Linked DNA regions of Drosophila melanogaster. The protein of the gene in region 1 interacts with the protein of each later gene in a pairwise test. Each region holds a gene or a part of one and is shown on either strand. Other genes may lie near its edges. The genes, in order: CG18371, CG42748, Nadk1a and kappaB-Ras.

What was found.
Region 2: the proteins of CG18371 (region 1) and CG42748 interact in a two-hybrid assay, tested with the Drosophila melanogaster proteins (one large-scale study listed by BioGRID).
Region 3: the proteins of CG18371 (region 1) and Nadk1a interact in a two-hybrid assay, tested with the Drosophila melanogaster proteins (one large-scale study listed by BioGRID).
Region 4: the proteins of CG18371 (region 1) and kappaB-Ras interact in a two-hybrid assay, tested with the Drosophila melanogaster proteins (one large-scale study listed by BioGRID).

What each region holds. Positions count from the first base shown.
Region 1 is NT_033778.4:14,027,033-14,029,963, reverse strand, and holds CG18371 (uncharacterized protein), read right to left. Parts: upstream 1,345-2,931; 5' UTR 1,231-1,344; coding exon 898-1,230; 3' UTR 868-897; downstream 1-867.
Region 2 is NT_033779.5:22,132,081-22,137,473, reverse strand, and holds the start of CG42748 (uncharacterized protein), read right to left. Parts: upstream 3,142-5,393; 5' UTR 2,367-3,141; intron 1-2,366.
Region 3 is NT_033778.4:13,542,406-13,547,545, forward strand, and holds the start of Nadk1a (NAD kinase 1a), read right to left. Parts: upstream 3,045-5,140; 5' UTR 2,903-3,044; intron 159-2,902; 5' UTR 79-158; coding exon 1-78.
Region 4 is NT_033778.4:7,443,172-7,447,994, reverse strand, and holds kappaB-Ras (kappaB-Ras), read left to right. Parts: upstream 1-2,202; 5' UTR 2,203-2,299; coding exon 2,300-2,413; intron 2,414-2,477; coding exon 2,478-2,969; 3' UTR 2,970-3,398; coding exon of another isoform or gene 3,399-3,646; 3' UTR 3,647-3,709; coding exon of another isoform or gene 3,710-3,983; 3' UTR 3,984-4,171; downstream 4,172-4,823. Other genes in the region: CG11125 (uncharacterized protein), read right to left, coding at 1-208, 284-341; Fa2h (fatty acid 2-hydroxylase), read left to right, coding at 814-1,041, 1,106-1,594; CG30503 (uncharacterized protein), read left to right, coding at 3,399-3,646, 3,710-3,983; sPLA2 (secretory phospholipase A2), read right to left, coding at 4,294-4,552, 4,620-4,823. UniProt on the Drosophila melanogaster protein: Atypical Ras-like protein that may act as a regulator of NF-kappa-B activity, possibly by preventing the degradation of NF-kappa-B inhibitor cactus.

The DNA.
Region 1 (2,931 bases):
GGGTTTAAATCGGAATAAGCATCATCAAATTCGGAAATATGGTATTTACAAACAGAGTTACACTTAATATTACTTAGTATATTACTTAAGAAACCAGCTTGCACTTTTCTAACAGCAGGCTAACACATGTAACTGTCAATAATGAAATTCGGAAACAGTACAGTGAACTTTCCAACACTTGAAATCTTAACTTCCTATGCAATAAATGCATTCGTTGAATAGACAGCGGATTACGTACATATATGTATACGTATAATTCATATATATATATCTACCGTTATTCTCATAACAGATAACATTTACCCAAAAATGCATTTCAAGGCATTTCCTTCCGCCTTGAGAAGTCACGACTTACTAGATTTTCACCTTCAATCAAATAGTCAATCTGTTCTTGTTCAGCGCACTGCGATAAATATTTGTGGCTCTCTGTTGTTATTCTAGATTTTCCTTATAGCCAGTATTGTCTGTTGCCTGTTGGCTGCTGTTTGTGTGCCGTAAAAACTCATTGCCAGTTTGGGGCGTCGCTCAACTGGAAATGTGGCCAAGCCGAGGCTAAAACTGAAGCTGAAGCTGAAGCTGCAGGTGTCTGTCTAACCAAGTCATCTCACATATATATATATATACATATGTACATATATTTACTTTGTAGATACATATATTAAAATAAGTACATAGTGGATGTGCCAGCCTCCATGTAATTGCGCTGAGCATTTCTTTGTGCGGCTTAATTAGTGGCTGGCAGCAGCCTGTTTTTCATTTTAGAGGTTTATAAATGATGCTCGCAGAAGCACAACTGGGCTCCATTCGTAGGCAGCTCAATTTAAAGGTCCAAACAAATAGTTACAGCAAATACACAGTTCCAATTTTCGGTAGTAGACTACAAGTCTAAATTCTTTATTAAATGGCCTTTTTCGTTGCTGCCACATTGTGGTAGCGAATCGAGAATCGGCTAAAGTTGTGCGAAGTGATCTCCTTGGTGGGCGTGAATTCCGCCCGCTCGATAATCGAGCGCGGACTGCCGATATTCAGTAGCCAGAACTTCAGCACGTTGACCTTGGGCAGTGTGCCCTCCAGCTGTCCCTTCACCGTGCCCTCGTCCGTGTTCATCACCCACCCGCGCACCTGGTTCATTGTGGCCAGATCTCGTGTCTGCTTCCGCAAACACACACCCTGTACTCGCCCGAAGAGTTCGAATCCGCAGGAGAAGATCTGTTCCGCTGGCTGCATCATCTTCAATATGCTTCGTTTTTTCTAGAAATAACTCCAACTTATTGTCGATCGAGAGAGAGATAGAAACAGAAACTCCACTTGTTGAAATTTAGTTGATTTTTGTCAGTGTTCGTTACAGGAATGTCGCAAGCTCCTAGATTCCCTTAAGCAGTTAAGTGTTTCCTTTCGGAATGTGCGCTCTGCAGCACAGTGAAACCCAAATAATGTTAACACAAGCAAAACTTGCTAAAATTAAATGTTAAACTACTGGGTGTCAATGATATCGCCATTATGTGCTTAAATTAAAATCGACGAAAGAAATAGGGAGTTTACGTTGGAAAAAGGAGCAGTGTATCGGCGAGAGCGCTAATGACATTGTATCTATTGTATATCCATAGCGTATAGCGTATCCCATATCAGCACTGGGGACTCATAAATCACTTGCCACACTCATTCGCACACACGCACACATTCACATGCGACGCCAAGTTCATCTCATGGCAATCCAATCAACTGGCAATGCCACAAAAGTTTGCAACCACCAAACCAGAGCCGAAACCCTCCCCCCCCCTTGTTCCTCTTGCCAGCAAGCCTCCTTCCTTCCCCCTTCCCCCTTCCCCTTCCCCTATGGCCCATGGACACATGAACACCCCCCTCGAAAATGGCAAAACACCACCTATGGGCAGCGCGAACAATAACTAGCGAGATAAACAGACAACATTCGGCGTTAATGCAAACGCGAAACGCCGACATCGCAGGCGATACTAAGGCAAATATTTAATACGATATTTATGGCCTAGGCACAGGATCAAGTGCAAGCGGGATGGGTAGACAGAAAGAGACCAAAAGGGAGAGCATGGGGAAATGAGGTCCTTTGAGCCAAGGTATTTGCAAAAGATGCCTGTGATAAATGACTACAGTTACAAGTACTCGTCCGACAGCTTCCAGAAATTGGTTTCCCGATGACTACATAAATTATACTTTTTCACAATTATGTCTAAGGTTTGTAAGGAAGACTATTAAATATTAACGATACGATATATTCTCTAGAAATTAACTGCTTTTCATTCTTCCACCCTGACGTTAGCGTGCAACCGAAAAGATTTTCCCCCTTTACCATCTACATTTTAAGAAACCAAACGTGTACGTATGTTGAAATGGCCCTAAAGCTGTCAATTTGGTTAAGCGAATTTAAAAGTTTTCGCAAAGTGGAACCAAAGGCTTCCAATTTGGCCGGCACACTGTGGCCAATCCAACTCGAACTCCGTTCGTCGTGTGCCCATTCAAATGAAACACAGCACGAGCCTCGGGTTCGTTTCGAGTTTCAGGTTGGATTTCAGGTTGAGACCGCCACCGACGTCTCCATCGAATTCGCAGTTCCGTCGCTGCCTCCGTCGACGTCCGTTCGATACTGTTGTTGTTGCTGCTGCTGCTGTTGTTGTTGTTGCCGTCGAGCCGAAGGTGAGCAAGCCAAATCAAACAAACCGAAGCGCAGCAAAAAAAAAAGTACGTTGAAACGCTTGAAGGGACTTCGCATGCCTCGCCGTTGGAGCTACGAACGAACGGGTATATATGTTTGTATGTACATGTAGGCATAAGTATAGGTATCGGTATATCTATAGATACTATAGCTCATGCTGTTGCTGCCAGAAACTGCGCTTCAATTGCGACAGCAGCAACAACAACAACAACAGCAAGTCGGTAAACAAAACTCAGCTTCTC
Region 2 (5,393 bases), on another chromosome or scaffold:
CAATCAACGTAAAAATAAATATACTTGTACAGTAAAAAAAATATATAAATAGATTAGAAATAGGTAAAATGAGGCGTTTCCGAACCGCATCATAAACCCTCTCGAAAGCTTTCAAGCAGCTCAACGTCCAAACTTTTGAATATTTTTCCTTGATTTGTATAGATGTTTTTGACACGCCCGCTATTTTAAGACATTTTTTATTTAATTCGTTTTTAATAATTGCGTAAAAAGAGTCTAGTGTTTTGTGACTTCACAATACACTATAAAAAATGTAATATTTTGGAACGAGCCTTATCAAATGTTTAGTTTACCGTCATTGTATCTCTAGCTTAAAAAGCTAATGCAGTAAAGTAGCGGGTTTTTCAAAAGTCATAGAATTAATTTTTTATATCGAGCAATTTAGTGTAATAAAAATGTGTGCAAGGGCCTGAAACAACTTGTGTATTCGCTCATACAAAATCTATTGCTCAAAATGGATAGTGATCGTGTTTGTTGCTAAATAATTATAATAATTATCCTTCGCGAATTTTCTACGGAAATGTGTTCTAAATATTTGAATATTTAGGAATTGAAATTGATCGAATCGTTTTCAAGAAATCCAACAGAAATTAAGAAGATATATATTTGTTTTAATCATATTTTCTAATCTGCTGTTGCTTAGACAAAAAACGTTCCAAACACACTTTTTCTTTCATAACAGCATTTGAAAAGCATTTCGTGCAGTGTAAATAGTTACATAAATTGAATTTGAAGTATTATAACGTTTTACAAAGAACTAGAAAGATATATATCCGAAAGTTGAATTGAAAGTCATATTCAGCCGAGTTGATCCAAGAATATATATATACTTTATATGGTCGAAAACAGACCTTTTTGCTACTTTAACCTAAAATTTAAATGACGTATTTTATAATTGTTTATACATCTAGTTGAATTATAATTTCTTTAAGCTAAATCTTTTGGGGACAAAAAACGCTTTTGAGGCTTTGAAAACATACAGTACCGCTTACAGTAGGTTTCACGAAAGACACTAGAATAATTTATTTAATTTAGAACTTCGAATAATTATTGTAATGTCTATGGTTTGACCTTTTCCAATTTTCGAAACGTTGCAGCTCCTTAAAGTGGACTACGATTTAAGCGAAATAAATTGTCGTTGTTGTTGTTGTATAAAAAAAACGTCATTTTTAAAATAGTTTTGGTTCTGTTAGTTTTGTTTTTATATTATTTTTTTATTTTAATTTAATACTTTTAATACTTTTTATTTTAATTTATACTCTCCATAACAAGGGTCCCCAAATGTGTTTGATAGTGTTGATGTGAGGGGAGCAAGGCGGCCACTCAAGCAATCTTAATCCACTGTTTTACGATTCAAATCAGTGTCATAATGGAACGTCAATTGAATATGAACATAAATCTCAGAAACCGTTGGAAAACCCTTTTAAGGTACAGCCTAGTACGCATTTGCGTTCATCTTCGAGGTGACAAACTGGAACTGGACCATGTTCCATAAAAAGATATCGTGAAATTAGTAATTATAACCATCAGGTCCATCAAGGTTGAACTTCTTTTCGTCGGAGAAGGTTACCGTCTTCCACTCCTTGTTCCACTCCGTGTTTTCGGGCAAATCGAAGTCGTGATTTTTTTTCGAGCATCATAATGGAGTTTTTTTTTTCAAATTCTTTAAGTTCGCATTCTTCCCTTATTTTACCATCAGAATGAGTGGAATTTGGTAAGTTCGTATGATAAGTCTTTCCTCCGATGCTGTTGTTGCATGTTTTTCCCTCCACTCATTTTTTATATAGTCTGCTTAGTTACGATCAAAATTGCTAATTGCTTTGACTTCGACCTATTTTCTTCGCAGATTCCATATCCATATAGCCTTTTACTTTACCTCGGTTAAAGCTTTTCCACGGCCATTTTATAAATAAACAGGTATTGAATGTCTTAAATAATAGAATACAAAAGAATGCAACCTTTTTCAACCACACGGTCCAACAAAAAGAGAAGTCAAAAGGGTAAAAGCTATTCAGATGAGCCAAAAACAATGGAGATTTCTTCTTATATAATATAAATAATATAAAAACATACATAATATAAAAACATATAATATAAAAACAAAATTTACAGAACCAAATCTTTGCTATTCCAAGGAGGACTGTTTTCTTTATAAAAAATTTAAAATAGTCAAACCTATTCAATTATGCGGCAGTGTAAGTTCAAAACAACAAACCGCACAAAAATTGGAATAAACATAATTTATTCGGTTCGTTTTTTTTACATGACCATTATGGTAATAAATTTACACAGCTTTTATTTATTTATTTTAAAATATACATGTATAAAATATATATACATCGGTATACCTTGTTTGCGGATCGCTGACTTTATGTTATACGTAGCTGCCATAGAAAGGAATCGTTTTAGTCAAAATTGTACTATGTACTTCGCAGTGGATGGCAGTATTTTATATGGCCGTATTAAACATATCTTTTTTGTGTAACTGTGTAAATGTATTTTCAAATAGAAAGCGGTGAGGTCTCTAAGAGCTTTCTAGTAGCAAATGTGATCATATGCATGTACATACACATACATTTACATGTATTGTGTTGTTGATATGTCGGGAATGCAGTAAACATTTTTATTTATATACAAATCCATGCTTAATTTTTTATTCGGCTTCAACATACATACATCTGTACATAGATACTTATATAAAATAACAATAGAATGTTCAGTAGAAAGAGTCCTGACCGGTTGGGCAATATGACAAGCGCGACAACGAAATCTCCGCGGTCTTCTGGTCACTTTTATAACTTTTTGAAAGGCATTGTATGTTCTCCATGTCTAATTTACAACGAGCTATTTTTTCTTTGCTCTGCTATTTTGTTTTGTGCCCTCAATATTCACGTAAACACTCAGATACACTTCTTTCTCAAAACTACTGTAAACGAAAGCTGGAGAAATAGGCATTGTTCATATATTTATATGTACAAATGTGTACATCCTATATACATATGTACATCGTACATATATCCACAGACGAAATACATATGTAATTGGGGCGGCTACAGACACATTGAAAAGACCGCACGATTGCAAATGGCTAACTCGCAAAGACAACGCTCAGATAGAGACTGAATTGAGCGGAGCAAAGCTGTAAACGTGTCTTAGACTAAACGTGGCCGAGAGAACCGAGATAAAGCGGAGACACGAAAGAGGCACGAGAGAGATCCGTTTAAAGCCATGAGCAAGGCGAACAAAGAAACTGGTTAGAATACAGGCAGGCTTGTTCCAAAACATTGGGAATCAAAGAAGAATCTCGGCTAGAGAAGGGCGCGACGAAAATGGCATGAACCCTTTTTATACCCACTTAAATGGGTATGACTTAAGCCAAAAACAAAATACGCAGACAGCTTTGCGATTTTTGTACATACATACATAATTATGTATGTTGCATATATATATGCACGTATATCTGACATTACCGCTGCAGTGGAGCGGTAGAATGGGTTGAAAGCGGGTTGAAAGTATGTATGCAAACGTTGAAACTAACAACATTTTTTAAAATATTATACATATTAGAATAGTTCAATTAAATACATACAAATATACGCAATAATATATACAGTTTGTCAAGAAACTGTTTACACACTGTGAAATAAGTTGAATTTTTGACTTTAAAGCTAAAAATTAAAGGTTTTTTGCTTAATTAAACGCAATTTTTTTATTCAATATAATTAAACAATATTTATTTTACTTATAAATCAAATCAAATTAAAAATATTAAATATACAAGAAAATAAACACCAAATTCCAAGTTTGCACATATTTGAGACTGTCAAGAAACTCTTTACACAAAACACTAAATCGAAGTTTAATTCTAAATTTTTTAATTATTTTATTAAAATTTTAAAAGTTTTAGTATGTTCCCCATATATATACGCGTATATTTAATACCAATTATTTGAAATATAGGTTAAATATGTATATGTAAATGTTCGTAAAATTTTTTTAAGTAATCAATACAAAATCAGATTATTGTTTGCAAACAAAAGAGCTTTTTTTTAAATTTTATTTTTATTTCTTGTATATTACAAAACAAATTAAAATCTGTAAAAGTCCTTGGCGACCAACATATGTATGTACATATTTATGTAGTAAGTGCGGTAAGACCTATTGTGACTATGGATAATAACTATATTGCAAGTGTAGATATTATTACCATTCTGCGATATATCTCTTACATCGAAGGCAATAAGATATTTTTTGTAGTGCCTGAAGTACCCTTAATATACTACCGTGGACGATAGTGACGAAGCGCACTAGAAAAGTGTGCGAAGGCGACTATTATGTGTACATATGTATGTAATGTACATATGTATGTTATACTCGAAAAACTACATGGAAATCTGCGGCAGCTTTCCAATCAACAAGATATTCACCAATTGGAAAAAACCGCTAAACCTGAGTGGGCGTGGCCAAAAATTGTTTGGCGTCTTAGGAATCTGCATGTCAAATCTCAACTCTCTAACTTTATAAGTTCTTAAGATCCAGGCGTTCAGACGGACAGATCGTTTAATCCTGATCAAGAATATATACACCCTATATAACGGGTATAAAAAATAGTAACATTCTAACATATACATTTGGTATATACGGACTTTCTTTATAAAAATGTAGCAATTTTTTAATCGACACAGTTTTTAATCGGCACAGTTATCTTCAACTTTTTATACCCCTGCCCTATTTTCGTAGAGTAAAATGGGTGTACCAGATTCGTTGAAAAATATGTAAGAGGCAGAAGGAAGAGTTTCTGACCATGTAAAGTAAATATATTCTTGATCAGGATCAATAGTCGAGTCGATCTGGTCTTGTTCGTCTGTCCGTCCGTATGAACTCAGGAACTATGGAAGCCTATAGAGTTGAGATCAAGCATACAGATTCCAGCCACGCAAGTCACGCTCACACTTTTGTAAAATGTTTTTCCATTTCTTCATTAGTAAACACCCACAGTTTTGAAAAAGCGTTGAAATTTAATTTTTTTTTTATTTTACAAATATTTAATTTTTAATATTAACATTATGTATGCCTCCGTATGCTACGAAAACCAAATTTTTGGTTTGGAGTTTGAAAACTCAAGTAGGTCCCAAACATTGATTTTGTTTTAAACGACCCCGTTGCAACTCATGATCCTCCAAGTGGTACCCTGGGTACCGATTTCAAAATTTTAATCAAAAGCTAAAAGCAAAAAGATTTTTAATTTGACTGCTAAGTAACGGATATGTAATAGTCGGGCAACTTGATTATTGCGTCCTCTCTTGTTTTAATTTGATGTCGGACTATATTTAAATACCTAAAAGCGTAAAAATAACTACATATTAATGCACAAA
Region 3 (5,140 bases), 480 kb from region 1:
AGCCAGCTTGTAGCTGAAGATCTCCTCCAGGCGATGCTGGTGCAGGGTGGCCAGGTCAATGTCCGACAGGCACGTCATGTTCAAGTCTTTTGATTGCTAATTATGAAATATCACTCAAAATGTTCACAGGTGATTCGCGTTGCTAAAACATTTTGCCACTATAAATTTGGATTGGAAAATTCAGCTTAACATTTCGCTTGGCATTTCTTGGAAGCTCACACCCTTGAAATGGCCCTGATTTTGAGCCAATGGTAAAATAGACGAGTTAACCTTGCTCCCTTTTGCTGGAGGTGTTAACAAAGCTAACATTTTTTGTAACAAAAGAATGCAATACATTTTTGTGGGATATAAAAACGGTAACTGCTTTGGCGCGTGGTAAAAGTTTATAAACAAAAACGATCAGTTTTTTTTGTATTTTGGGGGGAATTTTCGTATTTGAACCGGTTTTGTGTTTCTTGTGAAATTTGTGCAAAATAAATTTGTTATAAGCAATCGAATAGTTTGTTTTGGTTGCTTTTTTATTTTTGTCCAACCTAACGGACCAGCAACGTAGTTCCGGCTTTGACGAAAGAGCCATACAAATCGAGGGAGATGCGAGTCATTAGGAGATGGCTAGAAAGGAGCGACACAAGGCCTCATATGCGTCATTAGTCAGCTTCCGTCAGCGGGGAATTTGGGGTGGTTTAGCGGTATTTGGACTTGGCCAACTTTTATCGCCTGCTTTAGCCAGCACCACGACATAACGATGTCAAGTATAAATCAATTGGCAAGAAATCCGCTGGCAAAGCGGCACGAAAAAATAACTCGGACGTACTAAACACAGTTAGCTTTATAACGAGAAATATAATTAAATCTTTTTCGTTCGTGATCGCGTTTGCGTTTTGGTCAACAACCTTTGAGCAAGCCAAAAATCGAAAAAAAAACGTCCACTTGGACCACAATTAAACAGTCTTCTCTGCAGCTCTTTTGAAAACAACAACCCACTTGGGCATAACAGTATCGCCAGCCATTAATCTAGAAATCGTGACCTGTGTGTGCGATCAGCTTGAAGTTCCCCATCATTTCGGTTTCTTTCCGAAAGTGCCCCATCAGCAGTTCATTAACAGAGGTCGTCCCAAGATTCTGTTGAGTGGCCTGATAAGATGGAGGCCTTAACAGACTGGGGAAGTACCTGTGGAGGAGGTCTTCTTGAAGCTTGGATCCTTGCTGAATTAGCAGGAGTACAGAGAGAACATGGGAAATAGATTCTTCAACTGATTTTATCAAGAATTGCAACTATTATTTGAGGGGCGTATTTGTTATTAAGCTGCACAACAATCCAATCATCTCTTCCCAGTCGTTTCAATCGAGTGATCACTCGCTTTTGGAATTCTAATTAACTATATAGTTATTATATTGCATAACCAAAATGTTAGCATCGCGTGATCCAAAGCCCGCCCGCTCTTCTATTTTTACCCAGATCAGGAAGCAACAAGTAAGCACAAGTCATTGAAACGCTTCTGTAAATCAAACAAACAAACAAAGGAAGGCACAAGCCACCAGTCGCTATATAGCCAGTTACATCCGTAGTAATCGGACTATGACAATAGAGCGAATTGTAAATGACTTATGGACATGAGTTATACAAAGAAAACTGAAACAAAATAGGCGGCGAGCACAAATTAATTAATCAATAAACGGACGAAGCGAGCAGCGCTAAATGCGCAGCGGCATCGACTAAGTGCAGCGATTATCATTGAATGGATCGGCAAGTGGACAAGGGAACTGCACCTACGAATTTGTGTAACCACTTGGCCACAACGTGCCCACATGTCAGCACGGGTTTTGCCATGATATACATAATTCAAATGACGCCTTTCGTTATGAATTCATAGGTTCCAAAGTTGCAAATGCAGGTACTAACGCTGAACTTTCATAGTACACGTGCAACCTTTGTTTTTATTATTAAAATGTAATCAGTGGGAAATTGCTTTGCATAGATTATTAAACAATTAACAAGCAATTTTCACTTTAAAAATAATACATCGAGCTATGGACCGGGCTTAGTCCATGGCTATCTTAAGTAGTAATAAACTACAATATTGACGCTTTGATTTATATAATTTATATATTCCAAAAATGTACTATATTTATAACTAATTTGTTTGAATTATTTTATGAAGCGCCCAGCTAATACAGTGAATACATTGCTTTACTTTCAGTTGTGTGTTCAAACTTTGTGCTAGTTTAGTTTGAATAAATAATTAACCCCCTTTGGGTTTATTTATTCTGGCCAGCAACATTGCTTTATTGTTTATTTAAGTGAGTCAAAGAATGTGACAGTCCAACTAGGTTACTAAATTCTTTATGATCTGTAGTAGATTGGACTCTTTAGAATAAAGAATTATGATCTTTTACACAAATTTGGCTTTAATTAAGTTCAAGCATAAGTTTTTAAATAAGTGCACGATTCAAGGTAGCAACATTTAACGATAGCAACTTATTAGAGGTGATAAGCTCTTATTAAGCAACTAAACTGAGAACCCGACTTGTATAATTTGACCTCCAGTTCTTGAGTGGATTCTACAGATTGAGCTGAGTTTAATGCAGAACCATCTAGCAAAGTCTGCAAGAAGTTGGAGTGTATCTGCAATATCTAGTCTCTGTAGTTAGATGGATTGCTAGCCAGCTGGCTGCAGACCGTAGAAGGAAATCGAAAGTGGGCTTGCGGCTCGGAGCCCAGAAATGCCAAGTCATGTGTGCGCTAGAAAACAGCGTTAACGTTAACGTTAACGTTAACTAGTGGCATGCCAACAAAGTGCTCTAATTACACGTTATATAATCTGTTTTATTTTCTCCTTAGCACTAGCTCGAGCCAAGGCGAAGCTTCCAGCATTCCGGCGGCTTAAACATTTAAACTGACCAGCGATCGACGGCAAGCGGGTAAGGTAGGTAAACGACCGAGTCGAAAAGCGAGCAACAAAACAACGTTCCACGATCGACAGGTGAGTTTCAGTTTGAGAGCGAACACGACCGTGCTGTCCGGTGAATATGCGATAACTGAGCTGCGACGCCGAAAAGGTGATTAAGTTGGACGATTTGTGCGCGATTCCGATTCGAAAATAAAAGTACGCGAGCCGAGCGATTGTAAACAATGAACGGCCAGATCGTTTGGCGGGTTTTTGCCGGACATCGCTGGTTGGAAATCAGCTGAGCGCAGCCACGCGTCATGCATATGTATGTATGCTTTAGAGCAACAGGTGCTCTCACTGTTATGTAAATGTAATCAGCGGCCAGTGGCTGTTTAATTGCTGCTATCAAAATCCCACAAAAATATGATTGATGCATGCAGTCAGCGGGTAATTCCGTTTTATAGCGCCATAAGAACAATCTAAGCACGAAATTATTACTTTTCGAAAAGCTGGCATAACAAAATGTACAGCCCTGTTAACAGAGGCTTTAAGCCTATAATTTCCGACACTCAAAGGAAAAAATCGGAAATTAAGTGCAGAAAATCGATTTTAGTGGCCTGCATCTGGCACATGTCACACATTCGTCACACGTGTTAACAGTAGTTAAAATTCGCAGAAAATTACGAACCCAAACAACATGTGTGGGCCACTCGAGAGGCAAGCATTTTCCCGCCAGCTCTAATTGATTGCCAACAATTCACTATATACTGTATGTACATAGTGTACGTAGGTGGTACATTTCCTTTGCTGTGAAAAACAGGGCTGTACTTATTTGATAACAATTCAAATTTCGTCTCCGTTCGTACTTAAGTTTTGTTTTTTTTAAACCAAACCTCTAATCTCGAGACAGGTTAAAAGGAATGTCTGAAATGAAATGTGATGGTTCAGCAACTGGAAAAGAATTGTATTCCATTTATGTTTAAGACATTATGTTTCTTATATAGTTGTCAAAACAAATGATTTTAAAGAACTAGCAATAACTAAAACATCTGTTATAATAACCGTTTTTTAGACGGATCGATAAAGCAAATGCAAATATAAACTGCAACAGCCTAACAGCTGATCACGAAACAGCTGATCCTCAGCTAGCAAAAAAAAGGCCAGATCTGGCGTGAAACCGCAATCAGGTGTTGTCATCACTTTGAACCGCCCACTTACCACCACATACGCATCTGGAGGTCATCGCTGGCAGTGCCGTTATTCAGGTCAGGACCCGGTGCTGATGATGCTGCAGTGCCTCCTTGTCCCTGTCGTATGCTGTTCACATGGAGCAGCTGATTGTCGTGGTCGTCGTAGTAGGATCCATTGCACTGGGAGGCCGACTTCGGCACCGTTTGCGCGGCCGACGGGGTGGTCGTTGGGGCTGGGTTAACCGTTATGGAGCTAGAGGACTTCATTGTTTTGGCCACCTGCTTGTAGCTGTATGTGTGTATATCTGTGACTGCGCACCTATGTGTGCGCCAATGTGAGTGATGTGTTGTGTTGGCCTCAACTTGACCCACTAACGCGTTGCACCTGCCGACGACACCCACTTTCGATGGACAACTTCCCGATTTTGGGCTAGGCGGCGACTAGCTCCTGATTTGCAATTTCACGAACGCGAGTTTCAATGGGTCCATGTTATTTGTTTTTTTCCTGCACCAATTCACGTCTGTGTGGCAGTTGTGCGCGTAGCAAAAAATACCCATATCAGCAGTTATCACCGTATGGTCACACTAAGGCGCGAGAGTTTAAATTGGTCTTTCGCTTATTATCAGATTTGTTTATAAAAAATAAACAGCAAGTGTTGTTGGGTTTTCAAGTTTACTGGCTTATATGTTTAAATAATAGGTATACCAATGATTTGCTTGGCAACCGAAATAAAACCATCTAGGTTCGTACAATTAAAGTATTTGAGTTACACTGAATATAAAAAAATGAAAAGCTTCCTAAAACTATATACAAAACTTAATTTTTCTTGTTCATTAGCACTTCATAAAAGTATTCTTAAGTTATTTTAAAAACTTTTTTTCATTTAAAGACATTACACCTCTACTCAAGTTTAAAATTGAAAAATGCCTGGCACTTCAAGGACATTTTTCGCTACAACTTACCGAAACTGAGTTCGCTTTTCCAGCAAACTGATTGGCAGTGCTTTCCTTAGCGGAGCTGGCGAACTCCCAGGCGTAGAGGCGTCTCCATTGGCCATT
Region 4 (4,823 bases), 6.6 Mb from region 1:
TTTTGCAACGAGTTCTGTTTTATAGTTTTGCCCTTAGCTGCTGGTTTCTCCGCCTTCGAGTCTCCCATCACGGAGGAAGAGCGTCGCAGCGGGGGCATCCATTTCGGGCGCGTCGGCTCCTTAGCGGCCAACTTCTGGCTGGTGGACTTTTCCAGCGAGCGCAGGCTCACCTTGTTTTCCTTGAGGAAGTTTCGGGACTGTGTGACGCCTGTGGGAACGGAGACCAAAACAAATTACCAACTGGTTGCCATGGCCAAGCGGCTGTTTGGAAAAGAAATCTTACGCGGCACCGAAAAGATGCCCTTTAACGTTGGAATCGGGCGAACTGAAGTATTCGACATGTTCCACCTACTCCCGAACTATAACTAGACGGCTGGGGCTCCAGAAATGTGATCTCGACTACGACAAGTGGAAACTGCGTCGTTGTGTGAAGTAAGGCACAGGTTCAAATGACAATTTTGAACCAGCTGCTTGTGATTGTACCTGCTCATCGATGCCCGATAACATTATATATCGGTTCGGTGCTGACCCGCGGCTGGCCACATTCGAGCCAACTAACGGTTTATGGGATGTCCTAGTGTTTAAGTAAATATTAAATAAAAAAGCAAGTAGAAATCAAGTGAAATTCTTACTATTCTGTAATTATAGTAAAGTTAAAATAAAATAAATAAAAAAATATAAAATAAAATAAAAACTCTGCACAGCTTCTAATTTTAAATATTTAATTTTCAAAGGTAATTAACCAAACCAATTTATGGTAATACATACTGTATTAATTTATTGACTAACCTATTGTAAATTCATGAATTCCAGCACCTAGTGGACTGGTCTAAGGCAATGCTTCCGCAGATAGCTAACATAACGGATTGCTACGATGAGTGGGTTCACAAGCCGGTGGACAGGCCACTGCGTCTCTTTGACCCTTGGTACTTGGAGATGTGCACCAAGACGCCCTGGTGGCTGGTGCCCCTGTTCTGGATACCAGTGATCGTGAAATGCGCCGTGGAGGAGTTCACCACCGCCTGGCAGGATAGCAACCAGGTGAGTAGTCGCGCAATCTTCGCATTCTTGGATACGATCTTCTAAAAGTATCTTCTTTCTGCAGCTGGCTGTGTTCTCCGGTTACTTTTTATTTGGCGTGCTCCTGTGGTCTTTCCTGGAGTACACACTGCACCGCTGGGTGTTCCACGTGAAGCTGAGCAACAAGAGCGGAAGTTGGCTATGCACCTTCCACTTCATGATCCATGGCCTGCACCACAAGGTGCCCTTCGATCCGATGCGACTGGTGTTTCCGCCCCTTCCCGGCGCAGTGCTCGCCGCGGTCATCTACACCCCGCTCAGCTTTGTCCTGTCCCATCCGCGAGTGATCTTGTCTGGAGCTCTGGCCGGCTATCTGTGCTACGATATGATGCACTACTACCTGCACTATGGGAACCCTTCGCTATGGGCCTTTGTACACATGAAGCGCTATCATCACCACCACCACTTCTCGCACCAAACTCTCGGTTACGGCATCAGCAGTCCCTTGTGGGATGTCGTCTTCAAAACGAGAATCCATCTCCGCAAGCTGAGATACCAACTGCGCTGGTCCTAGCTGCAATAAATGGCTAATACAGTGCTACTATAGAACAAATTACATTCAGTTTTCAACGCAACAGAGTTGCTGCCGCAGCAAATAGTTCAATCAAATCGGAAATTTGGTTTTTAGCCTATTTGTGTAGGCTGAATACTGAGCATTAGGCTTAAGAATTATTTGTAAGACTTTTACCAATTTCTATTAAACAGGAATACACTTCCAATGATACCAAAGAACAAATGGAAAATCCTTTTTGAAAACAGAAAACTGGGCAATCAAAGGAACTATTGGAACTATTTTGGAACTATTTTGGGGAAAAACAAAAAATTTTCGGCAATTTTATGATGCGTCACCAAAGTTTACATTAGAAGTTTGGTACCTTACCTATATATGAGAGGGAATACTTTGATTAACTTTTAATTCCTTTGGTAAATGCCTTATCATCACTCTGGAGCGTTTAAATATTTTTGTTTAAAATCGAATAAATAAAGAAGCAGACAGACGGTTTGTATGAACACTTTCATTTACCTATTTCATACAAATCTGGTACAATCAGTTCAAGTTTGTTTAATAATTAATATTATATTATTAAAATTAGCTTAAGATAATTGTTTAAGACCTGTCTTAAGTGGAATTTCTCATTGGCGTTGCTTGGTCACACTACCAAGAATCCAGCGAAAGTTTTGTTTATTTTTTTGGGTCCCAATTTCTCCTGCTGGAATAATGCTAAATGCCAAGATCGGGAAGGTCGGCAAGGTACTGGTGTGCGGGATGAAGGGCGTGGGCAAGACGGCGCTGATAGAGCAGCTGGTCTACGGCCACGTCAATCCCGAAACGGTGAGAATGCCTTTGGCAGAGCTCAAAGTAAAGCTGATGTCTCATATCCCGGAGTTCATTGCAGGAACTGCATCCAACCATTGAGGATATCTACGTGGCCAGCGTGGATACAGGCAGGGGCGGAGCCCGAGAGACCCTGCGCATCTACGACACGGCCGGATTGCAGGGCGAGCAGCAGCAGCTGCCACGCCACTACCTTCAGTTTCCAGATGCATTCGTTCTGGTCTACGATCCCATGGATCCGCGCAGCCTTGACATGCTGGCCGACATCAAGGCTGACATTGAGAAGCACAAGGAGAAGAAGGAGATTCCCGTTGTGGTGCTGGCCAACGTGAGGGCACGAGCAGCCCCAAATCCCGTCGAGAAGGTCATGGACCGCGCCAACATCTGGTGCCAGCGAGAGCGCATAAAGCACTACACGGTGAACGCCATGGAGCGTCCCTCCCTCTACGAGCCATTCACCACGCTCTGCGCCCGGCTGCACCCAATGCAGACGAAGAGCACGTTCCCTCAGCTGCGCCAAGTTATGCAGAACCGGCAGAAGAGCGAGGCTTAGCTGTTTTGAACGGACGAAAGGGAAGAGATATAATTTAAGTTTTATTCGGGAGTGTCCCAATAATCTCCGATACTTAACAGTAGCTATGAATGCCACAGATTTGGCTTTAAGTTCAAGAGATCCTTGGGATCTCCCCAATCGTACTCGTATTGATCCATTTAGAGTCTACTTGCCTTGTATTAACTGTTGTGCTTTAATGTGGGCCAGAGCCCAAGCCACTTGTACTTATGTCTCTTTGTGTGTGTCCAATTGTATCTACTATTTATTACACCGACATGTCTTCTCTCATTCCGCGAGAATTAAGCGTAATCAGTATTCACTGCTCAATCGCAGCTCAAATGGCGCGTAGTGATTAAATAACCATGCCGAAATTCTGCTCTACGGCAATCCCCTTGGATCAGTCGTCTGCAAGCCCCTTCCTCGAGCGCAATGCTTTCGCGTGCCGCTTTTCTTACTGTTCTCCTAACGCTGATCTATGCCAGCCATGCGGCTGCGGGATTGAGCATTACAGTTCCGGGCACAAAGTGGTGTGGACCCGGGAACATAGCAGCCAACTACGATGACCTGGGCACTGAGCGCGAAGTGGACACGTGCTGCCGGGCGCACGACAACTGTGAGGAGAAGATTCCGCCGCTGGAGGAAGCCTTTGGCCTGAGAAACGACGGGTTTTTCCCCATGTAAGCGTGGATTCCATAGCACCCATGCTGATCTTGGGATCAATAATCGTGCGCTCCCCGCAGATTCTCGTGTGCCTGCGAGTCGGCCTTCCGGAACTGCCTCACCGCTCTGCGAAACGGACACTCCCTGGCTCTTGGCAAAATCTACTTCAACACCAAGGAGGTGTGCTTTGGCTACGGGCATCCCATCGTTTCCTGCCAGGAGAAGCAGGCCGACCTGTTCGAGACACGATGTCTCAGCTACCGAGTGGACGAAGGTCAGCCGCAGCGCTGGCAGTTCTACGACTTGGCCCTCTACACACACGTAAGCGGCAGCGAGGAGGACTCCCGAGATTGAACTTCGACGTCCGGCGATAAGCCCTCAATTGTTTACAAAACAGATTGTGCGGGGAGCGAAACCTAATGTGATTAGGATTTTGACGGTAGGTTATTTGTGTAATAAATTTTCGAAGCTTAAGGCTAAGTAGCCTGGAATTATATTAAAAACTGAATTCGGAGGCTCAATTAAAGTTCAAAATGATCAAGAAAATATTCGGAGTATTTTATATTTCATCCAGATTAAAGTGGGATTACCTTATAAGTAATAATTAATGTGATGTGCGCATCAGGTAATGTAATCATCTTGTCTACAAATCGTTGATATCATGTCAGCCCGCCGACGCTGGGATTGTGAAGAACGGCATGTCGTAGAACTGCCAGACCTTGGCCTTGGACTTGTCCACCTGGTAGCGGATACAGCGCTTGCGGAAGGTGCCCTCCTGGTACTGCTTGCATCCGGTGGTGGGATGTCCGTTGGCAAAGCACCTGCTCCTGCTGCCATAGTAGATACGACCCAGAGTTTTGGCCGTGATGCTGTTCACTGCCTGCAGGCAATTGATAAACTGCTGCTCGCAGGTGCACTTGAGGCTAAATTGAAAAGTGTCTGTCAATGTGCACAAAATCGATAAGGGACTTTAGGAGGTTTACCGCTTACATGGGAAACCAGTCTGTGTTGGTGGGCAGTCCGTGGAGTGCTCCGTGGGACTCGATAATCTCGTCGCAATGGTCGTGGGCACGACAGCACTTGTCCGTCTCCCGTTCGCGGCCCAAATCCTCGAAGTTCGCCGCCGTGTTGCCCGGTCCGCACCACTTGGTTCCGGGCACCGTGATGCCCGTATGGGGAACTGGTGGCAGTGCC